Drosophila melanogaster: one gene and its partners. The protein of the gene in region 1 purifies or fractionates together with the protein of each later gene. This does not show direct contact. Each region holds a gene or a part of one and is shown in the gene's direction. Other genes may lie near its edges.

Region 1 (8,116 bases):
ACGTAAAGGAGGTGGAACCTAGCAAGATGAACATGATCCTGGTAAACAAGTCGGACCTGCTCACTGAGGAACAGCGTCGCCACTGGGCGGAGTACTTTGACAGCGAGGGTATTCGCACGGCCTTCTACTCGGCCACGCTGGTAGAGGAGGAGTTGAAGCGGGAGGCGGAGGAGTGCCTGGATTCCTTTCCCGAGGTGCAACAGCTGCGCAGAGCAGTTGAGGAGATAAAACAGTCGTTGGATAGCGTGGAGGACGCTTTGAACGTTATCGAGCAGAAATATAAGACGATTCCCGAGACTCAAAACGATGAGCTGCCACGATTGCCCGGGGACAAGAACAGTCCCCGACTGCTGTCCCGCCTGGAGCTCATTGAGTTCCTGCGAAACATCTACACCGGTCCCCGGCACACAGAGCAGCACGTGACCGTCGGAATGGTCGGCTACCCAAACGTTGGCAAAAGTAGCACCATCAACTCGCTGATGACAGTGAAGAAGGTGTCCGTTTCGGCCACGCCGGGCAAAACTAAACGCTTCCAGACGCTTTTCCTGGACAAGGACATACTGCTCTGCGACTGTCCCGGTCTGGTGATGCCGAGTTTTGTGTTAACCAAGGCGGACATGTTGCTCAACGGCATCCTGCCCATTGACCAAATGCGCGATCACGTTCCCGCCGTCAACTTGCTGTGCGAGCGCATTCCGCGCCACGTCCTTGAAGACAAATACGGTATTGTGATAGCCAAGCCGCTGGAAGGCGAGGACATGGAAAGGCCACCGCATTCGGAGGAGCTGCTGCTGGCTTATGGATGTAAGTGCCAATGCTTTGCGCACGCATTTCAGTATTTCACAACGCACTCTTTCTCGCTCTTTTCCAGACAATCGCGGTTTTATGACCTCCAACGGGCAGCCGGATCAGGCGCGTTCCGCCAGGTATGTGCTTAAAGACTACGTCAATGGCAGACTGCTCTACGCCATGAGCCCGCCCTCTGTACCGCAGACCGAGTATCACACCTTTCCCGAACGCCAGCGCAGGGTCATCGAGGAATCACAGCTGCCCGGCCAACAGCAGCGAGCCATGCGGGTGAGATTTGCCCTTTGCACTAGACGTGATTCCTTTGCTAACTGATCGCGTTTTCCGCAGATCAACAAAAGCACGTCCAAGGAGCTAGACAACCAATTCTTCTCCGACAAGCCTACGCACGCCCACGTCAAAGGACGCACTAACTTCCCTAACGTGCGCCTGGCCAACGACGGGTCCCTAGTAGCCGGCAATGATCCGGCGGCCAAGCCCTGGCGTCATGTGAAGAAGGAGAGGCGCGAGAAGCTGCGCAAAAAGTTCTCGCACCTGGACGAGCACTGATTGTAGCCCATTAGTTATTTATTCCGAAGGGTGTGTCTAAGAGGCACTTGTACATTTTAAGCATTAAACCTACGTATATACATATATATTAAAGTCCCCCCGACTTCGAGAGTTTGAAGGCCCACAATCTCAGACTGAAAGAGTTATATTGCGCAACTAGCAGATTGAGAGAAACATAGATAAGCCATCTGATGGCCCAGCCTGGACACAACGATTAACACAAAGATAGCATATATTTAGCATACACACCAATGAAAGCAAACTGTTGTTGGAATGGCGCCCCCAATTGAGTTTAAGAGATGCGTGAATGGAAGGTAATTTCGAGATGCGGAGGAGCGCAGTTGCGCGGAGAAAAGAAGCCTGCACTTTGACCGCGTGATAAGCGCAGATGCTTACGGCTCTTGTCTTCTATCACTTGGCCACAGTCTCTATCACGCAGTCTTCAGCGATGGCCACAAACGAGAGCTGCAAGCACTTCAGGGAGCTGGTCGTCGAACAGCGTTCTGGGCTGCTCCACATACGCTTCCAGCGGCGCTGGCAACGCCGAACCCTCTACGAGCTGATGCGCGCCCTGGACCTGGCGAGTGCAGACGCCGCCGTTAAGGTGGTCGTGCTCTCGGGCGAGTTTTCTGCAGCATGTGGCGGTGAGATGGAACCGTTGGCTCTCAAACAGGGTCTGGAGAATAGGAGTAGGCGTACCGCTTCCCACGAAGAAGCTGTGGGCAGTGGTGATGCCGAGGAGCAGTACATCCATGAGAAGGCGGCCAATTTTGTGATGCGCTCGCTGGCCAAGAAGCTGCTTGTGCACCGCAAACTCCTAGTGGCTTTTGTGGAGAGGCAGTGCGTCGGTCTGGGCCTGAGCGTGTGCAGCCTGTGCGATCTGGTCTTCGCAACGGAGTTATCTGCCTTTGTGCCCGCTTTCTCGCACCTGGATCCCTGCACCAAGGTGGGTCCCGGCTGGACTGTGCCACACGTCCACTGGCTGCTTCGTCTGGGCGATCAAGCGAGCTCCAGCATTGCCCTCCAGTGTGGCCTTGTGGCCAGTGTGGTGCGAGAGCCGCAGGAGTTTTGGCACCGCGTCGACCAATACTTGCGCTTGCCTTCCGCCTCCCTGTTGGCGACAAAGCGCCTCCTGTTTCGTCCCTGGCAGGACTCCCTCTTGGCCGAATTGCGCGAGGAGGGCACTCCGCTGGCTGCGCAGCGACGCCGCTTGGCCAGATCCTCGCTGTAGGGTTGCGCTTCCAGATCCGTTGAATCGATTAAGTAAATAAATAGCGATTATAAAATAATGACATGTCCCCATGGTATTTCTTTTCATTCCTTTCATTGGAGCTCCATGACTTAACTTAAACTTTAAATCAAAATCTGCAACGGAAACGGGTATGCATATACAGATGGGCAGCACTGTTTTCGATATCTTTCGACTGGAAGGCACAGCTGATTGCCGGCGCGTGTTGTTTTTTTTTTGTTGCTCGCCGCAAAACTGCGAAAGTAAAATCTCGTAATTTTGGGGAAGATTAATTAACTTGGGCAAAATGCAGCGAGCACGACTGTTGCGGAACGTGTGGCTCTGCAGGCAGCGCTTGGGCCATCTGCCAGGACGCAGCGCTTCCTCCGCCAGCCTGGCATTCCGTTATGCAACGAAGCCTGCGGCGCCAGCGGTGCCGTTCTCGCTGCTCCAGATGCGATCCCTGGGAACGGGTGGCGTCCTCAGTGCGGTGGAGCGAAGAAGCCGGCGCCCCGCCTCCTCCTCTGAAAAACCGAAAGCCAGCGTGGCGGATGCGTGGACACAGCTGGAGGCGTACTACCGGCAGCACGATCTGATCAACTTTGAGCACTGCCAGCGCCTGCTGGAGCTCCTGCAGGAGTCTGCGTCGCCGCTAGGAGTCGGCATCGAAGAGGTGCACTTCCTTCTAGGGTCCTGTGTGCCCGAACTGCTTCCTGCTCAGAGCAGCCAGGAGCGTCTTCAGCTCTTCAAGGGACTCTGGGCTCAACTGATCAAGTTGGGCCAGCCCACGCTGGCACATTACCACACGAAGCTCCAGGTGCTGCGCCAGAACCGTTTGCCTCTGACTGACTATCGCTCGTTGCTGGCGGAGATTGCCGTCTACCATGGAGCAGCCGATTCCACCTTGTACGGCGCTCTTTTGGACGTGGCCGGCGCCGCCGGAAACATGCGCATGGCCACCGAGATTTTGTCGGAGATGCGCGAGCGCAGCCTCGCCCTCACGGAGCACAACTTTCACGCCCTGCTTTTGGGCCACGCCCGCAGCGGTGATCTGCCCGGGGCGGAGTCCGTCCTAGCCAGCATGCGGGCCGCAGGAATACAGCAAGGCAGCAGCACTCAGGCCATTTGGTTCGAGGCTCTGCTGGAAAACGGTCAGTTGGCACAGGCCAAGGAGCTGCTGCAGGTGGAGCACGGATTCACCGCCCCTCAGCTGCTCCAGATGCTGCGGGGTCTGCTCGCCAGCAAGGATGTCGACACGGATCTAATCCAACTGCTTGTCAAGGAACTGCCCCGCGAGTTTCTAACAGGTATCGACCTGCCGCCCGCCATCAGAAGCCTGTGCATTCAGCTGGTGCACCAAGGACGCACCGAAGTCGTCATACAGCTCGTAGGTGCGTTGCCCGCTCCGAAGTTCGAGTTGCAGAATCAGAACGTGGATGAGTACGGTGCACTTCTGCTGCAGGAGTTCTTCCGCGCCCAAGTTCCGTTGGACCAAACAATCCAGTTCGCCGGTCAACTAGTGCAGCGGAACCAGAACGTCCGCGCCCTGCATTTGGTGGCGGAGTTGGCCCTTCGCCGTCAGCCATCATCCGCGCTACGCTGCCTGGAGGATCTATCTGCAGCCGGCGAGGAACTTCGTCCGCATTACTTCTGGCCCCTGATCTTGCACCATTACCGGCGGGAGGGCGAAAGCGGCATGCTACGCCTGGTTTCTGAAATGCGGCGCCTGCGCGTTGAGTGCGACGAGGAAACGTTGCGGCACTACCTGTTTCCCCACCTGCGCCAAACCCTGGTGCAGCCCTTGGAGGCCGTGAAGGCACTTGAATCGGCGGGGGTCAAGCCTTCCCAGACCCTGTGCCCGGTTGTGAGCCACTTGCTGCAGCAGCATCAGATGTCCGAGGTGCTGGACTTGCTTGATCGGTATCCGACACGCTTGGACCTGGCCACGCTGCTCCAACCACTTTCTTCGCTGGCGGTCAATGCCCGTGCCACGAAGCGTTTCGAGGTATTTGCCAAAGTGATCCAAGCCCTGCAGCAGAAGGCACTCAAACGGGGAGAAGATTTTGTGGGCTCCTTGCTGCTGCAAATGACTGGACCTCAGACGCGTCTGCGCCAGGATGCCACCTCGTTGCGACGTTTTCTGCACGAACTGAGACGCCTAGAGCTACAAATCTCACCCGCTGCCTCCGAAGCTCTACTCTCCGTGGTCCGGCACGCCACTGATGACGTTGACCTCATCCAGGATCTGGCCAAAACGCTGCAGAAGATGAAAAACCCACAGCTCGCCCTGCCAGCTGACACGGTCTCGCTCCACGGAGGCTTCATCAAGCACCCGCGCGACATGAGCATAGACGAGCTCGAGTGCCACCTAGTCGAGCTGGAGTCCAAGCAGCTGAACCCGCGAGGCGTGTTGCGTCGCTTGCTGCAGCTCTCGGTGCGCAGTGGGCGCTTGGAGCGCGCACAGCAGCTGTTGGCCAAGTGCCAAGTTCTGAAGGTTCAGGAAAGCGCAGGCATGATGGCCTCCATATTCGACCTACACATCAAGCTGCGCGACTTGCCGCGCGCCCAGGAGAGCTTGGAGCGACTGAGCAGCATGTATCCAGGTACCTAACAACTTACTACTAGATGTGAACTGCATTAATCCGCATACCGTTCTCTCTTAAGCCTTTCAGATTGACGAGCACAAAGTGATCGACTATGCCGCCCTCCTGGTCCAAGGCCAGCAGCTGGAGGCCGCAAAGCAGCTGCTCCAGCGACGCGCGGAGCAGCATAAGGTTGTCGGTGGCGACTATGTGATGAAGAACGTATGGCAATTGCTGACCAACGTGGGCCAGCTGGCCGCCTCTTCACATGCAGGTGGCGAGAGCTCCAAACAACTTAACCAGACTCGCGAGTGGTTGGACTTCCTCAGGGGTCTGGGCTACTGTCAATCGCAAAATGCCCTACTGGGACCAGTGGTCCGCGAGTGGCTGTTGAAGGGCAACTTGGACGCTGCGGTGGCCGAGTTTCAGCGACTGGCTAACACTCACAAGCACACGCCTCTGCAGTTCGAGCTCTTGTCCCTGCTGGTGCGACTGGGCAACGGGGACGAGCAGGAGCTGACCCGTTTTCCCGGCGTCACGGCCGAGTCCGCGCAGCAGCACCTAGCGGTGGTTACTGCGACTGTGAGTCGCATCCACGGAGCGGCCAATATGAACAGCGCTCTGCTGCTCGCCCTGGCCGAATCCGGAAAGGAGACACAGCTGCGCCGGCTGATCATCAACCCAGAGTTCCGCATCAACCACGAGCTCCTCGTGAAGAATTGCGAGCACTTGGGACAGGAGGGCGCTGTGCGGACGCTCCTGCGGCTGGCGCGCGGAGTGAGGGGTGTCCAGCGGACCATAGACGAGCAGAAGATCTACGACCTCCTGTTGGCCCAGTTCTGCCGTAGCAACGACTACGAGGCGGCGTTGGATCTCTTTGAGCGCTTGGAGGCCGACGACGAGCTGAAGGTGTCGCATGAGTTCCTTCGCAACCTTGTGCAGCTGCTGCAGGTGAACCAGGTTGAAATTCCCAGTACAATCGCCCTGCGCGCCCACGTTAGATAGCCGGGCGACGAGATAGATAGATCGTCGCTCTTATCCTTAGTTATACACTTGGTATGTATGTACACACATAAATTAGTGCAGTAAATACGAGACGGTATACCTGCAAGTCTGAAAGATCTTTTATAGCTTCTGGGTGTCCTGGTGCCACGTCTAGTAGGCCTGGCTTTTGAAACCTATTGTCATCTGGAATCTGTGCTCCGAAACGGTCACAAAGTTTTCACTCGTAGCATACAACAGTCTCCTAACAGCTTCTCCGAAACCCACTCCCAATCTAAATTTTAGTTTTTATTCGCGTTCAATCTGTGCAAGTTGCAACCCCTCCCTATCCAACCATGAAGCGGCTGTCCCGACGTCCGGTCTCCGATGAGCAGAAGGCCCAGATGGGCAACCAGATTCATGAGCAGGGCGCAATAGAGGTATTCATGTCGGTGGCCACCGTCTCGCCGCTACTCCGAACGCGGGTCCTTCCGCAGCTAAAGGATCAACAGGATCAGCTGAAGGACAAAAAGCAGGACCGCAGGCCGAAACCGGAGCCAGAGAAACTCGAGAGCGGCGCTCAGGGCGACGCCGGTTCCGCTTCCTCGACGTCGGCCCACGCTGTAAAGCTCTTGCCAATCGAGGGAGATCCAGCCAAGCTGAAGGCGCTGACCAGCCGCCAGCAAATTGCCAGCCTGCTCAATCACCTCGGCGACGGCGCAGAGGGCGATGGCGAGGCCAAGCAGATCGTGATGGAGCTGCTCGGCAGCGGGGTGCAGCCGCACTCGGCCATCGAGCGCGTTTCCGAACAGCTGTTGCACGTGCTGCGGGAGCAGACTCTGATGGAGGCCGGCATATTCGTCGGCAATGAGCGGTATCGCTTCTTTAAGGGCGTGCTGCAGAACTACGCCAAGATATACGCGGCGCGCAAATTTATAGATAAGCTGCCGAAGCTAGATCAGCTTGGCCCGGATGCGGGTGCGGAGCGCGAGCTGTTCGCCCGCGTCGTTGCGGAGGAGGTGCTGCAGATCCCGCAGCTGCTGCGCCAGCTGAGGTCGTCCCTGTCGAAGATGGAGTTCTTCAACGAGGACACCGCCTTCAAGGCCTACCTGGAAGTCCGTTATCACCCGCAGGCCCGTATCCTGTGCGAACTAATGCTCACCCGCATCTCTCGCGTCTTCCTCTGCATTGTCGGCTCACCATTCTTCCTGTACTTCACCGAGCACGAGCTCACGCACATCTTGCGAAACTGTTACCTCAGCGTCAACTCGGAGATCGAGGTGAGATCGTCAAATCATTTCCGTGTGGTCACTGGGTCATTCTCCTTCTAATTCAAACGATAACCATCGGCAGATATTCCTTTCCGTGGTGCTCTGGCTGGAGCACAACTGGCTTGAGCGCGGCGACTGCGCCGAGCGCATCTTAGCCGAGGTGCATTTCGCCTTGATGCCGACTTGGTACTTGTGCACCCTGGACAGGTCCAACCGGTGCAACCACTTTGCCCGAGTAATCCACAGTCCCGGCGTGCAACGCTTGATTGCCGCAGGCCTAGAGTAGGTTCCATTCTTGGGGGTTTGTACATCGCTTACGTGAACTGTTTCCCCCAGAGACGCCATCACCCTCAAGTCTAAGCCCCGCTTCAGTGGCGCCGCTTTACACCGACAACGAAAGCATCAGGAGGAGAGGCTCTTGGTCCGCGACTGGATAGTGGATACTGAGTGCAGCCACCACCATAAGAGCCACTGCGAGCAGTTCGTTTACCCCACCTACGACGCGTTCAAAGAATACCTGGCCAGGATTATCTGCTGCGCGCCCAACTGCTGGCGCACGTTCCGTCCTGCCCAAGAGGTGTACCGCAGGGACTTCCGCTGCTGCTCGCTGCCACACTTCAACTAGACTCAGCCCGCGTCCCAGTATTCTGTACCTTCCTGCTACTTCTGGGCAGTCGTGATTCTGTCAGTTCCGTCCA
Region 2 (4,593 bases), on another chromosome or scaffold:
CATTTTATTCTTGCTTTTACGCGTCTGCTGTTCCTTGCTTAAGCTGCGTTCCTGTGCCTGCAGCGTGGCTAGCTCCTGTTTGTGGCTTTGCATCTGCACTTGTAGTCGCTTCTGGAGCTGCGCATCTCCAGAATTCCGGTCCAGGGACTGTTTAACCTTGGCCATATCTCTTTGCTTTCGGCGGATTTCATCAGCAATTCGCACTGTTTCCACGTTAAGAGTTTTGGTTGAGTGCTGCTGTAGCTCGTTGGTCTTAGCTTTCTTGGTCACCTGCTCGCCTTGCTGAGTGCTTTCTCCAGGCCCCAAAACACTGTCGTTTAAGAATGTAAAGACATCCACACGTTGTGACTCACGGACGTAGGCCTTCTCATCAGCCTTTCGCTGTCGTCGCTGGGCGCGCTTTAGCTTTCGTTCCACGCTAAAATAATCCTTGTCCCCGTTGGCGGCCTCACGCAGCTCCATGCAGGCATCTAGAGATCGACCCTGGGGAAGTATCTGGGCGCTTACCGGGGTGACGATTCCCCTTCCATCTGAGCCAAGACCAGTACCATGGATGTAACCCATTTTCTCCATAAGCTTAGAGCCGATGCCCTATAGGGAATAGTATTTATAGGAATTTAAGTTTTCTGAATCGTAATCTGCTCAACATACCCGTGTGAACTCCTCCCAGGCGCCAAGTCGTTCCGTCGGCTTAAAGGTAAACAAACTCAACTCGACCATGCGTGCTCTTCTAGCTTCCTCCAGATCATCCATATCCGACTCCGCCTCGTCACTGCTGTTGTCGTTCATGCTGGAGTTGCTCTCCTCGCTGGAGAGCTCGTCATCCTCATCCTGATCGGTGGTAAGTGGATACAGTTCTTCGAACTTGAAGTCTCGTTCCCGCTCCTTGTGATCCTGCCCATCCAAGCGGACGCGGCATATCTGCTCTACGAAATTTACACAAAGGACACGACCTCGATGCCACAATCGATCTGGTAGCAGGGCAAAAACTGGACGACTGCGGGAGAGTTTGTGGAAATCGGGTGGATTATATTTTCTAATGGAGCTACCGGTGACAAGGGCGCCATGGGAAAAGCGACACTTGGCCTCATCAAAGCGGCACTCGCCTTCGAGGTAATACGAACAGGGCAGCATTTCTCGATGCGTGGGATTCGTAAAGAGAACCCTTAGTCGAGCATCCAAGACGCCTTCGCTGTTCATAACCACCTCGTCGTCCACTCCGCAGATGAGGGCATTGTGGTAGCAGGTGCCCCAACTGTGCTCGTGTGGTGCGGAGCACTTCTCGCCCACCATGGCGGTGTACTTGGTTCGCAAGTCAGCCAGCTGGCGTTCTTCATCCAACGCGGTTTGTGAGGAGCCGGCCGCCTCTAGGTCATTAAGTTCGCTTTTGAGCCGCTGCAGCTCATCATCCAGATTGTCGCCCTGCTGAGGTAGTTCATCGATTGGTGCTTCATCTCCTGATTCCCGGGTGAGGGCCAACAGCTCCTGCAGATTGTTCTTTAGGGCCAAAAGATCCTGGCGTTGCGCATCATCCGCGGCATTTTCCAATGCCTGCTCCACAACGAGCAACTGTTTGATGCAAGTATTTTCATAAAAATAGTTGGGATCTCATGTTATCACCTTTGCTCACTTGTGCTTCGTATTCTTCCATTATTCTTTAAATTTATTATTTACAACATAGTGCTGATGGCAAGTTTGTTTTCAGATTCTAAGGAGCAAGCACACAGTAGAGGTCACGGTTATAGTACTCTTTTTGTTCAATTGTTATGTTTTCTCGACTATTTTTGGTTGCTTTTTAAATTTATTTATATAAATTGCTTATATGGTTGAAGGTAGTAAAATTATTATTATTAAGACATATGTATATTAAGAATTCTATTAAATGTTAACTCAAACAGAAAAAAGATGCTATTAATATAGCCGAATCTGTGATTGAGGCAAAACGTCTGGCAGCACCGTCAGCTGATGGGACTGGAACTTTTACAGCACTGGCAAATCGCCGGTAAACTCGTGTGGCTCTCATTTGTTTTGATTTCTCGGTTACTTATTACTTAACTAATTAGAATTTAATATGAATTTTTCACTGAATTTCACAACGAGAAATCTAGTGCCACGACTGCACCGATTCACCAGCAAGATTGCAGTGGACGTTGAACCAGCTGTGGTCTCTGCCCTGGAACATGCCACACTGAAGCCCAGAAAACATCCCGGAGTAGTGAGACCCAATCATGTGGAACTGCCGAAACAATTGAATGATACGCTAAAGCGCATCGTGGGGGATCATCCCGTCAAAAAACTAATCCACGATGGCCAGCAGCTCAACGCCTATATCAAATCCCGCCATCCACCACCCACGCTGGAAGAGATTGAGAACAAGAAACGCATCGTTATCGAAGAGGTCAACACGAAGATGCCTCTGGATCGCCTAGCTACACTCGACGAAGACGAGGCGGAGCGTTGGAGGCGCAAGCGGGAGCTGGAGATCAACAAGAGGCTGGGTCAGCGTATCTACGCCTGGAAGCGAATAGAATATGGAGCATACGAGTCGCTTGTGTACGCCATAGCTCGTGGTGCCCAGGAGTACGCCGTGTTGAAGCGCGTTCTCACGGAGCTGGCGCAGCGGGATGAACAGTTTCGGCCACGAAGCTTCTTTGACTTCGGATCCGGCATTGGAACCGGTATGTGGGTGGCCAGCGAACTGTGGCGCGAACACATATTCGAGTACTACAACGTGGACAGGTCCAGGGAGATGAATGAGATATCAGAGCTCATTCTGCGCGATGGCCATGAGAACAAGCAAATAGCCCTGCGCAATGTATTTTATCGACAGTTCCTGCCCGCCATCGAAACCAATTATGATCTGGTCATTATATCTCATACGCTTTTTGAGTTGGAGAACAAAGAGCAGCGGGAGGATGTGCTGCGGAATCTGTGGCGGAAGTGCGATGGTTACCTGGTCATTGTGGAGGAGGGAACGCGCCGTGGCAGCGAGTTAGTCAACGAGGCTAGGCAATTTTTGTTGGAACAGGAACAAGAAGGTCACACTGTGGCACCAGTAAGTTTCAACGTATTTGCGATGTAAGGGTAGTAATCTAACTTATTTATACATACCTTTAGTGTCCGCATGATTTGGTCTGTCCTCGACTTCGGGATCTGGCCGATCGAACGCCCTGCAATTTTCCCATCTCCTACGCTCCCCTGCGTTTGGGTAGCGACTTCTTGGCAGACCGTCACACCTCCCTCTACAGTTATGCCATCCTGAAGAAGGGTTCCCAATCCGATAGCTCAAGCTCCTGGCCGCGCATTGTGCGTCCCACCTTGGTAAGGTCAAAGCATGCCATCTGTCGGCTCTGCACAGAAAAGGGCACTCTCCAAGAGGTTATCTTCACGAAGTCCAAGCACGGAAAGTAAGTAGAACCACAAAAGGCTTTTAAACTCCTCTTAAGCAATTGTATTTTCTCTGCAGGTCTGCCTATTCTTGTGCAAAAGTGAGTCGGTGGGGTGATCGTTTACCTATGTCGCTGGGACAGCCGCAAATCAAACAAGAATCAATCGAATCAGAGGAACCACCTGTTTTGGCGTAGTCTAAGATGTTGAACCAATTATATTAGGCATAAAGTCACGACCTGAAGCTAATTGATACTAAAACTGGCATCCAATTAGTTGACTTAATTATGTGCAAACAAATCGTTGCGGGTGGAGCTGAATTTAATTAAACAGTTGCATTTAAGTTAACCATACAATTCAAATGGCAAGCGAGCATGCTCATTGATACTAAATTTTGTTCAACGGCCAACACACCCTCATCTGGATTTTAATGTATGGCAAGACAAAAGGCGGATGCGACTGCGGATGGGTTGGCCCCGCCGGTTTGGATCGTTGTGTTATATAATGTCACCTGTATATAGGAGCCTTGGGCTGACCATTGGTCGGCGATTTCAGCACGCCCAGTGTTCATACATATAGGTGCCATACACATACTGCTTTCATTATGCGTTTTAGGTTTAAGTCTTGAATTTAAAAACGTATTTCATTTGTACAATAATGTTGTTAAATATATATTTAAATGCCAAAATACAAGTTTTGGCAAATCAAAGAGTCTCCTGTCTTTTAATTAGGGATAATAGATTTCTTAGTCGAAATGTCTGGACTGAATATCTGCGTTTCGTAAGCCAATCCCAGTTTGGCTGACATTTAGTTATGAGAGTTTCGAAGTCTTAATGGGAGACGCGCCCTTTTAACGACCGCGGATCATCCCCGTAGCCATTCATCGCACCTCGAAGTCCTGTGTGCCATCAAAGGACATTATGTGGTTGGAAAAGGCCAAAATGTGGGGCGCGAAATGTGGCTAGCCGATGGAAAGGGGAGTGGGTGCGGAAGGACTACTTCCATGTACATCGGGTTTTAGGGATTGGCTTTGGAACAAGGTGTGTTTCAGAGCAACGAGCCGTGGATACATAACAAGGGACTATCCTGTGAGACTTCGTATAATAGGGCTTATACTCTTCTATTAAACTTCATTTAGAGCAACTCATTGATCTAATCTTGTACTATAATGGCTGATAGTGAATTTTTCATCTTTATATACATTTT
Region 3 (7,909 bases), about 10 Mb from region 1:
GCGGCCTTGGTTTCATTTCATTACTTCTTAAATTTGAAACCACACACGGAATGCTTGTGGGATTTCAAAAAACATTTCAATACCTCCACAATCGAGTGGAAATATATTTGCAGATCTGCCCTTGTAAAAGGAGATATATTATCAGACAAATTTGCAAAAATTGCAAAATGAAGTTTAATATGCAAACCACTAGGAAATAAAATGCTTAAAGGGTTAAATATTCAAATTCTCAAAATCAGAAAAAAAAAAACGTTTTTCCGTTACCTTAAGACATAAAATGAAGTAAATAAATAACAACATGAAGTAAAATAGCAAAATTTTTTTCCTTTGAGATTTATACAATTATTTTCCCAAGTGTATATTTTAAATGATGAATGCGCATTTTTTGATTTTTTCACTGACGCAGTTTGAGGAAAATGCCCAAACATATGCACATACATATGTACCTATATGTGAATGAATGTAAATTTATGAAGCCCTCGCTCAATTCAAGTAAAACAACATTTTTTCTGAAATCAAACCGTTTCAGAGACTCGAGCGAGTCACACGTAAATTATCCCGATCTGCTAATTAATTGTTTAGTACAGCTTTTTGAACCGAAAACTTGAACACAATCAATGTGAGTGATGACAATTCACAAATTGCATAGATATTGCATAATTGATTCCTTTATAAAACATATTTGAAATCAGTTTTTGTGTTATAGGTGGACATTGTTCAAATCTAATGGAAATTCTAAAATGAACATCAACAGCGATTCGAACCAGGAACAATACTACAGACGAAATATTTTAGGGAAAGTTAATGCTGCAGATTGCGCAAGCTATTCCCATAATTTATTTATTGATTATAAGCTACAATTATTTTTCTGGGCTGCAGTATGCTGCTGCGTTCTCACGTTTTTGATTTGTCTGGCAATATGTATTTCGATATATATATATTTTATACGCTAATCAAAGTTAAAGTTATACGAAGTTCAATCTAAGATAACCACTGTATTTTTATTTATGGGAAAGCCTTTTATTTATGCTCATTTGTTCACATTCGAATGGTTTCTTGTTTATTTCAACTTTGGCGTTGAAAGCGTTTCCGACTATATAAAGCATATATATTATTGATCAGTATCAATAGCCGAGTCGATCTAGCTATGTCCCTCTGTCTGTCTGTCCGTATGAGGAACTATAAAAGCTAGAAGGTTGAGATTCAGCATACAGATTCTAGAGACAAAGACGCAGCGCAAGTTTGGTGACCCATGTTGCCACGCCCACTCTAACGCCCACACTTCTGAACCATTTTTTGAAATTTTTCATAATTTTTTTAGTTGCCAAACTGCGAAAAGACACGCCCACTCTAACGCCCTAGGGCAGCCGAACCGGTCACGCCCACAGTTTGGAACATTTTTTTTAATTTTTCTCATTTTATTCCCCAATATCTATCGATATCCCAGAAAAATGATAAAATTTCGCGTTCGCATTCACACTTGCTGAGTAACGGGTATCTTATAGTCGGGGAACTTGACTATAGCACTCTCTCTTGTTTTTTTTTATTTCCCTTAATGATTACAAGGAACCCTTGCTTCTGAAGGCAAATCTTGATGAGTCACATTATTGACAAAGAAAATATATATTTATATCATATATATTTATTGGGAACGAAAAAAGTTTTGATTATAATGATTGCCTTCGCAACTAAAACTTTAACCTGTAGGAAATACTTGAAGGTTTTATTTTTTCTTCCATTTTATCCAACAAGTTATTTCAAGTTAAACCTTATGGTTAAATCCTGTTTGTAATAGTTTATTATAAGGTCGACTATATAAGTACTTTTAAATAAATACGCAATACGGGAGTCCTATGTTTGTTTATTCATTTCATAAATTTTGGCGATTTTGGCGTTTTCCAAAATAAACAGTAATTTATGGTATAATTACTAAAAAGACAATACTTAAACGATATATTATTCACCCCATCACCGATAGTATCTATAGTCAACTTGCCCAACACTAGCGATTGATGTTGCCATACGCGATTATCGATAGACCCCTCGTGAGTCAAATGCAAACTGACGTATATTTATTACTGGCAAAACAGGCCGGGCAAATTTGTTGAACAAGCAAGAAAGTTTTCGCTTTTTTTAATCCTACATTCCCCGCAATAGCGTGGGAATCTCGTACAGACTCAATTTAAAACACACAACAGCCACAGTTTCGAAAGAGTGCCGAACGGCGGGCTCCCGAACACGGAAAGCGCGAAACGCACACACGACACCATCGCCATACCATAATCATCGCGGCCACGCTCCAAGCTTAGGAATTTTTCAATTCCGGAAACACTGACCAAGCGATCCGTGGTCTAGGAGCAGGTACTATAGGTGAGCATCAGTCCCATCCGAGTTACGTACCTATCGGCCAATGCACATTGCTAACTAGATCTCATCGCGATCCCTGCGGAAACGCAGCATAATCACCTTGGGTGAGAAGAAACAACAGGCGCCATGAGCGTGGACACGTACGCGCCCAGCTCGGCGCTCTCGTTCCTGGACATGGACGACAACGAGCTGCTTCCGGGAGCGGATACTCAACCCACGCAGTACGATTACCGCGACTTTACCATGCCCTCCACCTCGCAGAGCCAGACCCAGAACGATCAGCTGGAGATTGCCGTGAGTTGTCCCCCAAATCATTCCGCGAAACCCAAATGGCATATACCCTTTTTAATTTACAGCAACGCTGCTCTGCCGGAGACTCGCATCCACGACTGGCCAGCATCACCAACGATCTGGCCGATCTGCAGTTCGAAGAGGAGGACGACGAGCCTGGCAGCTCGTATGTGAAGGAGCTGCCGCCGCATGCGTGCAAGTATTGCGGCATCCATGATCCAGCCACGGTGGTCATGTGCAACAACTGCCGCAAATGGTTTTGCAACGGTCGTGGAAGCACTTCCGGTTCGCACATCATCAACCATCTGGTGAGGGCCAAGCATCGCGAGGTGACGCTCCACGGGGAAGGTCCCCTGGGCGAGACAATCCTGGAGTGCTACTCCTGTGGTGTGCGCAACGTCTTTGTGCTGGGCTTCATTCCGGCCAAGGCCGATTCTGTGGTCGTGCTGCTCTGCCGTCAGCCGTGTGCCGCCCAGAATTCGCTAAAGGATATGAACTGGGACCAGGAACAGTGGAAGCCTCTAATTGCAGACCGCTGCTTTTTGGCCTGGCTGGTAAAGCAACCCAGCGAACAGGGACAGCTGCGAGCTCGCCAAATCTCAGCCGCTCAGATCAACAAGCTGGAGGAGCTATGGAAGGAGAATATTGAGGCCACGTTTCAGGATCTGGAGAAGCCAGGCATTGACTCGGAGCCAGCACATGTGCTACTCCGCTACGAGGATGGCTATCAGTACGAGAAGACCTTTGGGCCGCTGGTCCGCCTTGAGGCCGAATACGACCAAAAACTGAAGGAGTCTGCCACGCAGGAGAACATCGAAGTACGCTGGGACGTCGGCCTCAACAAAAAGACCATTGCCTACTTTACGCTGGCGAAGACCGATTCGGACATGAAGCTCATGCATGGCGACGAGCTGCGCCTGCATTATGTGGGCGAGCTGTACAATCCGTGGAGCGAGATCGGCCACGTTATCAAGGTGCCGGACAATTTCGGCGATGACGTCGGCCTGGAGCTGAAATCCTCAACGAATGCCCCGGTTAAGTGCACCAGTAACTTTACGGTGGACTTCATCTGGAAGTGCACGTCATTTGATCGCATGACACGTGCTCTGTGCAAATTCGCCATCGATCGCAATTCAGTGTCGAACTTCATCTACTCGCGCCTGTTGGGCCACGGTCGTGCGGATTCCAACGACGAGGTGCTGTTCCGCGGCCCACAACCCAAGCTCTTCAGTGCCCCGCATCTGCCGGATTTGAATCGCAGCCAGGTGTATGCCGTGAAACACGCGCTTCAGCGTCCGCTCTCGCTAATCCAAGGGCCGCCTGGCACGGGCAAAACCGTGACCTCGGCGACCATCGTTTACCAGCTGGTCAAGCTCCATGGTGGCACAGTGCTGGTGTGCGCTCCCAGCAACACGGCCGTGGATCAGCTAACTGAGAAGATCCACCGAACAAACCTTAAAGTGGTGCGTGTTTGCGCCAAGAGCCGTGAGGCCATCGATAGCCCGGTAAGCTTCCTGGCGCTGCACAACCAAATCCGTAACATGGAGACCAACTCGGAGCTAAAGAAGCTGCAGCAGCTGAAAGACGAGACCGGCGAGCTGAGCTCAGCAGACGAAAAGCGATACCGCAACCTGAAACGTGCCGCCGAGAACCAACTGCTGGAGGCTGCCGACGTTATCTGCTGCACATGCGTAGGCGCCGGCGATGGTCGTCTATCGCGAGTCAAGTTCACCTCGATCCTGATCGATGAGTCTATGCAGTCGACGGAGCCGGAGTGCATGGTGCCAGTGGTGCTGGGCGCTAAGCAGCTGATCCTCGTGGGCGATCACTGCCAGCTGGGACCGGTTGTTATGTGCAAGAAAGCAGCTCGTGCCGGCCTCTCGCAAAGTTTGTTCGAGCGCCTGGTGGTTCTGGGCATCCGTCCGTTCCGGCTGGAGGTGCAATATCGCATGCACCCCGAGCTGTCCCAGTTCCCGTCCAACTTCTTCTACGAGGGATCGCTGCAAAACGGCGTCTGCGCGGAGGATCGTCGCCTTAAGCTTGATTTCCCCTGGCCACAGCCGGAGAGACCGATGTTCTTTCTGGTAACACAGGGACAGGAGGAGATTGCCGGCTCCGGCACCTCTTTCCTCAACCGCACAGAGGCGGCCAACGTGGAAAAGATTACGACGCGATTCCTTAAGGCAGGCATCAAGCCGGAACAAATTGGAATCATCACGCCTTACGAAGGTCAGCGCGCTTACCTGGTGCAGTACATGCAATACCAGGGCAGCCTGCACTCTCGTCTATACCAGGAGATCGAGATCGCCAGTGTGGACGCGTTCCAGGGACGTGAGAAGGACATCATTATCATGTCTTGCGTGCGATCTAACGAACGTCAAGGCATCGGCTTTTTGAACGACCCACGTCGCCTTAATGTTGCCCTTACACGGGCCAAGTTCGGGATCATCATTGTGGGCAATCCCAAAGTGCTCGCCAAGCAGCAGCTGTGGAACCATCTGCTCAACTTCTACAAGGACCGTAAGGTGCTCGTCGAGGGATCTCTGAATAACCTTAAGGAGTCGCTAATCCACTTCCAGAAGCCCAAAAAGCTTGTCAACAGCATGAACATTGGGGCACACTTTATGTCCACCATTATTGCCGATGCCAAGGAAGTGATGGTGCCAGGCTCCATTTACGACCGCAGTGGCGGTTACGGCCAAGGTCGCCAAATGGTGGGACAGTCAATGAATGGCGGACAGTACGGTGGCAGTGGAGGTGGTCCCTACGGAAACTCACCCCTCGGCTACGGTACTCCCAGCTCCAATTCCATGGTGGGCTTTGGCCTGGGCAACGGAGGCAATGGCGCGGCCGGTGGCAACAACAACTTCGGAGGGGCTGGACCCAGTTGGGCGGCTGCCCACCTCCACCACGACTCCATTGGCTATATATCCAACGAGCATGGAGCAGCAGCACTGGGCAACATGCCAGTTCCGGTTGGCATGTTCATGAACATGAGCAATATTCCGCCGCGTTTCTACAACCAGCACCAGCAGGCGATCATGGCGGTCAAGCAGAATCGCGCCATTCAACAACAGACGGGTAATTTCTCTCCCGGTAACTCGGGTCCTGGAGTCACTGGAGTCGGAGTCGGACGAAGCGCCACCCCAGGCGGCAATAAGAAGACCAACAAGCTGGGAAAATCGCGCGTAACGGGCGGTGGAACTGGCGGGGCACCGCTAACACAAGGAAGCTCGGTATGCAATGCTGCTCCATACAGTCAGCACCCGATGCCTTTGTCGCTGCAGATGACCCAGCCCAGCGGATTTGCTCTGTCCCAGCAGCCGGAACTTTCACAGGACTTTGGGCAAATATCGCAGATGGACGGTTTGCTATCCCAGGATGTTGCCTTTAACGCGGTAAGTGTGGAAGTGATATTTTTGAAACCCAAAGAGTGTTAGGTAATCTGAATTATTTGTGTTTCGCAGTCGGGCGAGCGGAGCTTGAATCAGTTCTCACAGCCTTATTGAGAATCCGGTTGGAGGTGCAACAACTACAAACGATAACAAGCAACACAAACGAAACAACAACAAACTCAACTTTGAAGTCATCATCAAGGAGTAGCATCAGTAGGCAGCAGGAAAAAGCAGAGAGGACCATCACGGGAACAACGACAGATGCGGGAAACAATGCGACCTAAGAACATTAGGACAAAGCGGGACATTAAAAGATGGCAAATCGAGACGAGGCAGCGTGATAGATGGAGACGGATATGGCAAGATGTGGAGTTACAAAGTAATAAAGAAGACTGAGACGGGAGAGAGATGTCGAAAGATCGAAATATCGAGAGCAAATCACTGTAGGCTGCCAGGATGCACAGCTGCAGTTGCTGTTTCCGTAGCGCCGCGGGCCATGGAGTCATAGCCAGGCGACATGCCATTGGCCACCGGCCATTGGCCATTGGTCACGAGTGCGCTCCCGAGACGGAGTTCGCCCACGGATGAGCCAATCTGCCAGCAAGGCGCCACACAAGATGGACAACTTCTCGACACGTTTCTTTTCTCTTTTGCCAGCCCAGGATTCGCAGCCGGAGCCTAACAAAGACGCAATCACTCCCGCCCAGGACATGTATTCACCAAGTGGCTTATCTTCTAACCTTCTTCTGGCCTCTAGTGCAGCAGCCAATCTTTAGCTCCTGTTTTAACATTTTCCCACCCAAAGCGGTTTATACCGATCCCCATATATGTATGCCCACTGTTGTACATTTTTGGACTCTTTTTTGATGCATTTGTTATCCTAACAAACACGAAAACAAAATCAAACAAAAACAAGGAAAATCACGCAAACAAAGAATCAAGACGAAACAAAATCAAATTTAAAAAACATGGATACACCATTTATAATCGCTCGGGAACGCTGGCGGATCCCCCCAAGCGGATGCAGGCTTCCAGCGCAGTTCGGATATCGAATGGTTGATAGGAAAACGCATTGCGATTTACCGATCTACATAGGTACACTACAAAAAAAAAAACACCACAAAAAAACAGGCGAACATTAACAAACTGAACCAACGGAGTAAATGATCAGGATCAGAAAAGGTTAGTTATTAATAATATTAATGCAGTTACAGATGCCTGATCATTGTTTTTAAAACGACATGAAAATCGTATATATTTTCTATATATTGTCAGTTAATTCTTCCTCCATGCGACTCTTTGTATCAAGAAAATGGAACATTTTGTTTGAAATTCAAAATAAAGAATTCCCTTGCGAAAAAAAAAAAACCAATATTCGCGCCAAGAATTTTCTCTTTGGGGCACGTGAAAATTGAATTTATATTCGAGTTTCCAGACACTTGGCTGTTTTGTTGCTTTTTAATTTACAGAACTTGCAATTTTACATTTTCGGATGACATGTTGTTTTTCAAATAGATACATACACACCACTGGAGGAACGAACATCGCACACCTCCGTGGCTGTTTACAATAATTAATGGAATGCGAGCAAACAATTCGAGTGTTTAAAGGTATAAATAGGAGAATATAATAACATTTAACAAGATAATGTATGTAATGTAAAAGTGTATTGAAATTCGATTCCAGTCGGGCTGCTTTCACGTTCTTTTCCGTACGGATGATTCGGTTCGGATTCTTTTGAATTTCAATTTACAAGCTTTCCTGTTTCGATTTAACATTGCTGCACATATTACCTATCCATTTAGTTTCTTCATTCTTGTTTCCAAGTACCATAAAGTTGTTGTACTTTCTTTTTA

What was found.
Region 2: the proteins of Lrpprc2 (region 1) and CG13126 purify together in Drosophila melanogaster (affinity purification with mass spectrometry, with the first as the bait; one large-scale study listed by BioGRID). This does not show direct contact.
Region 3: the proteins of Lrpprc2 (region 1) and Upf1 purify together in Drosophila melanogaster (affinity purification with mass spectrometry, with the first as the bait; one large-scale study listed by BioGRID). This does not show direct contact.

What each region holds. Positions count from the first base shown.
Region 1 is NC_004354.4:1,455,334-1,463,449, reverse strand, and holds Lrpprc2 (Leucine-rich pentatricopeptide repeat containing 2), read left to right. Parts: upstream 1-2,832; 5' UTR 2,833-2,891; coding exon 2,892-5,187; intron 5,188-5,248; coding exon 5,249-6,171; 3' UTR 6,172-6,275; downstream 6,276-8,116. Other genes in the region: Ns3 (nucleostemin 3), read left to right, coding at 1-804, 872-1,077, 1,138-1,356; CG14787 (uncharacterized protein), read left to right, coding at 1,805-2,587; CG14785 (uncharacterized protein), read left to right, coding at 6,504-7,427, 7,501-7,700, 7,755-8,043.
Region 2 is NT_033779.5:9,951,572-9,956,164, reverse strand, and holds CG13126 (uncharacterized protein), read left to right. Parts: upstream 1-1,983; 5' UTR 1,984-2,071; coding exon 2,072-3,055; intron 3,056-3,117; coding exon 3,118-3,407; intron 3,408-3,466; coding exon 3,467-3,584; 3' UTR 3,585-4,093; downstream 4,094-4,593. Other genes in the region: CG4709 (uncharacterized protein), read right to left, coding at 1-591, 652-1,569, 1,631-1,651.
Region 3 is NC_004354.4:11,899,496-11,907,404, reverse strand, and holds Upf1 (Upf1 RNA helicase), read left to right. Parts: upstream 1-2,033; 5' UTR 2,034-2,370; intron 2,371-2,428; 5' UTR 2,429-2,493; coding exon 2,494-2,661; intron 2,662-2,723; coding exon 2,724-6,056; intron 6,057-6,125; coding exon 6,126-6,167; 3' UTR 6,168-7,409; downstream 7,410-7,909. Other genes in the region: CG43156 (uncharacterized protein), read left to right, coding at 741-953. UniProt on the Drosophila melanogaster protein: RNA-dependent helicase and ATPase required for nonsense-mediated decay (NMD) of mRNAs containing premature stop codons.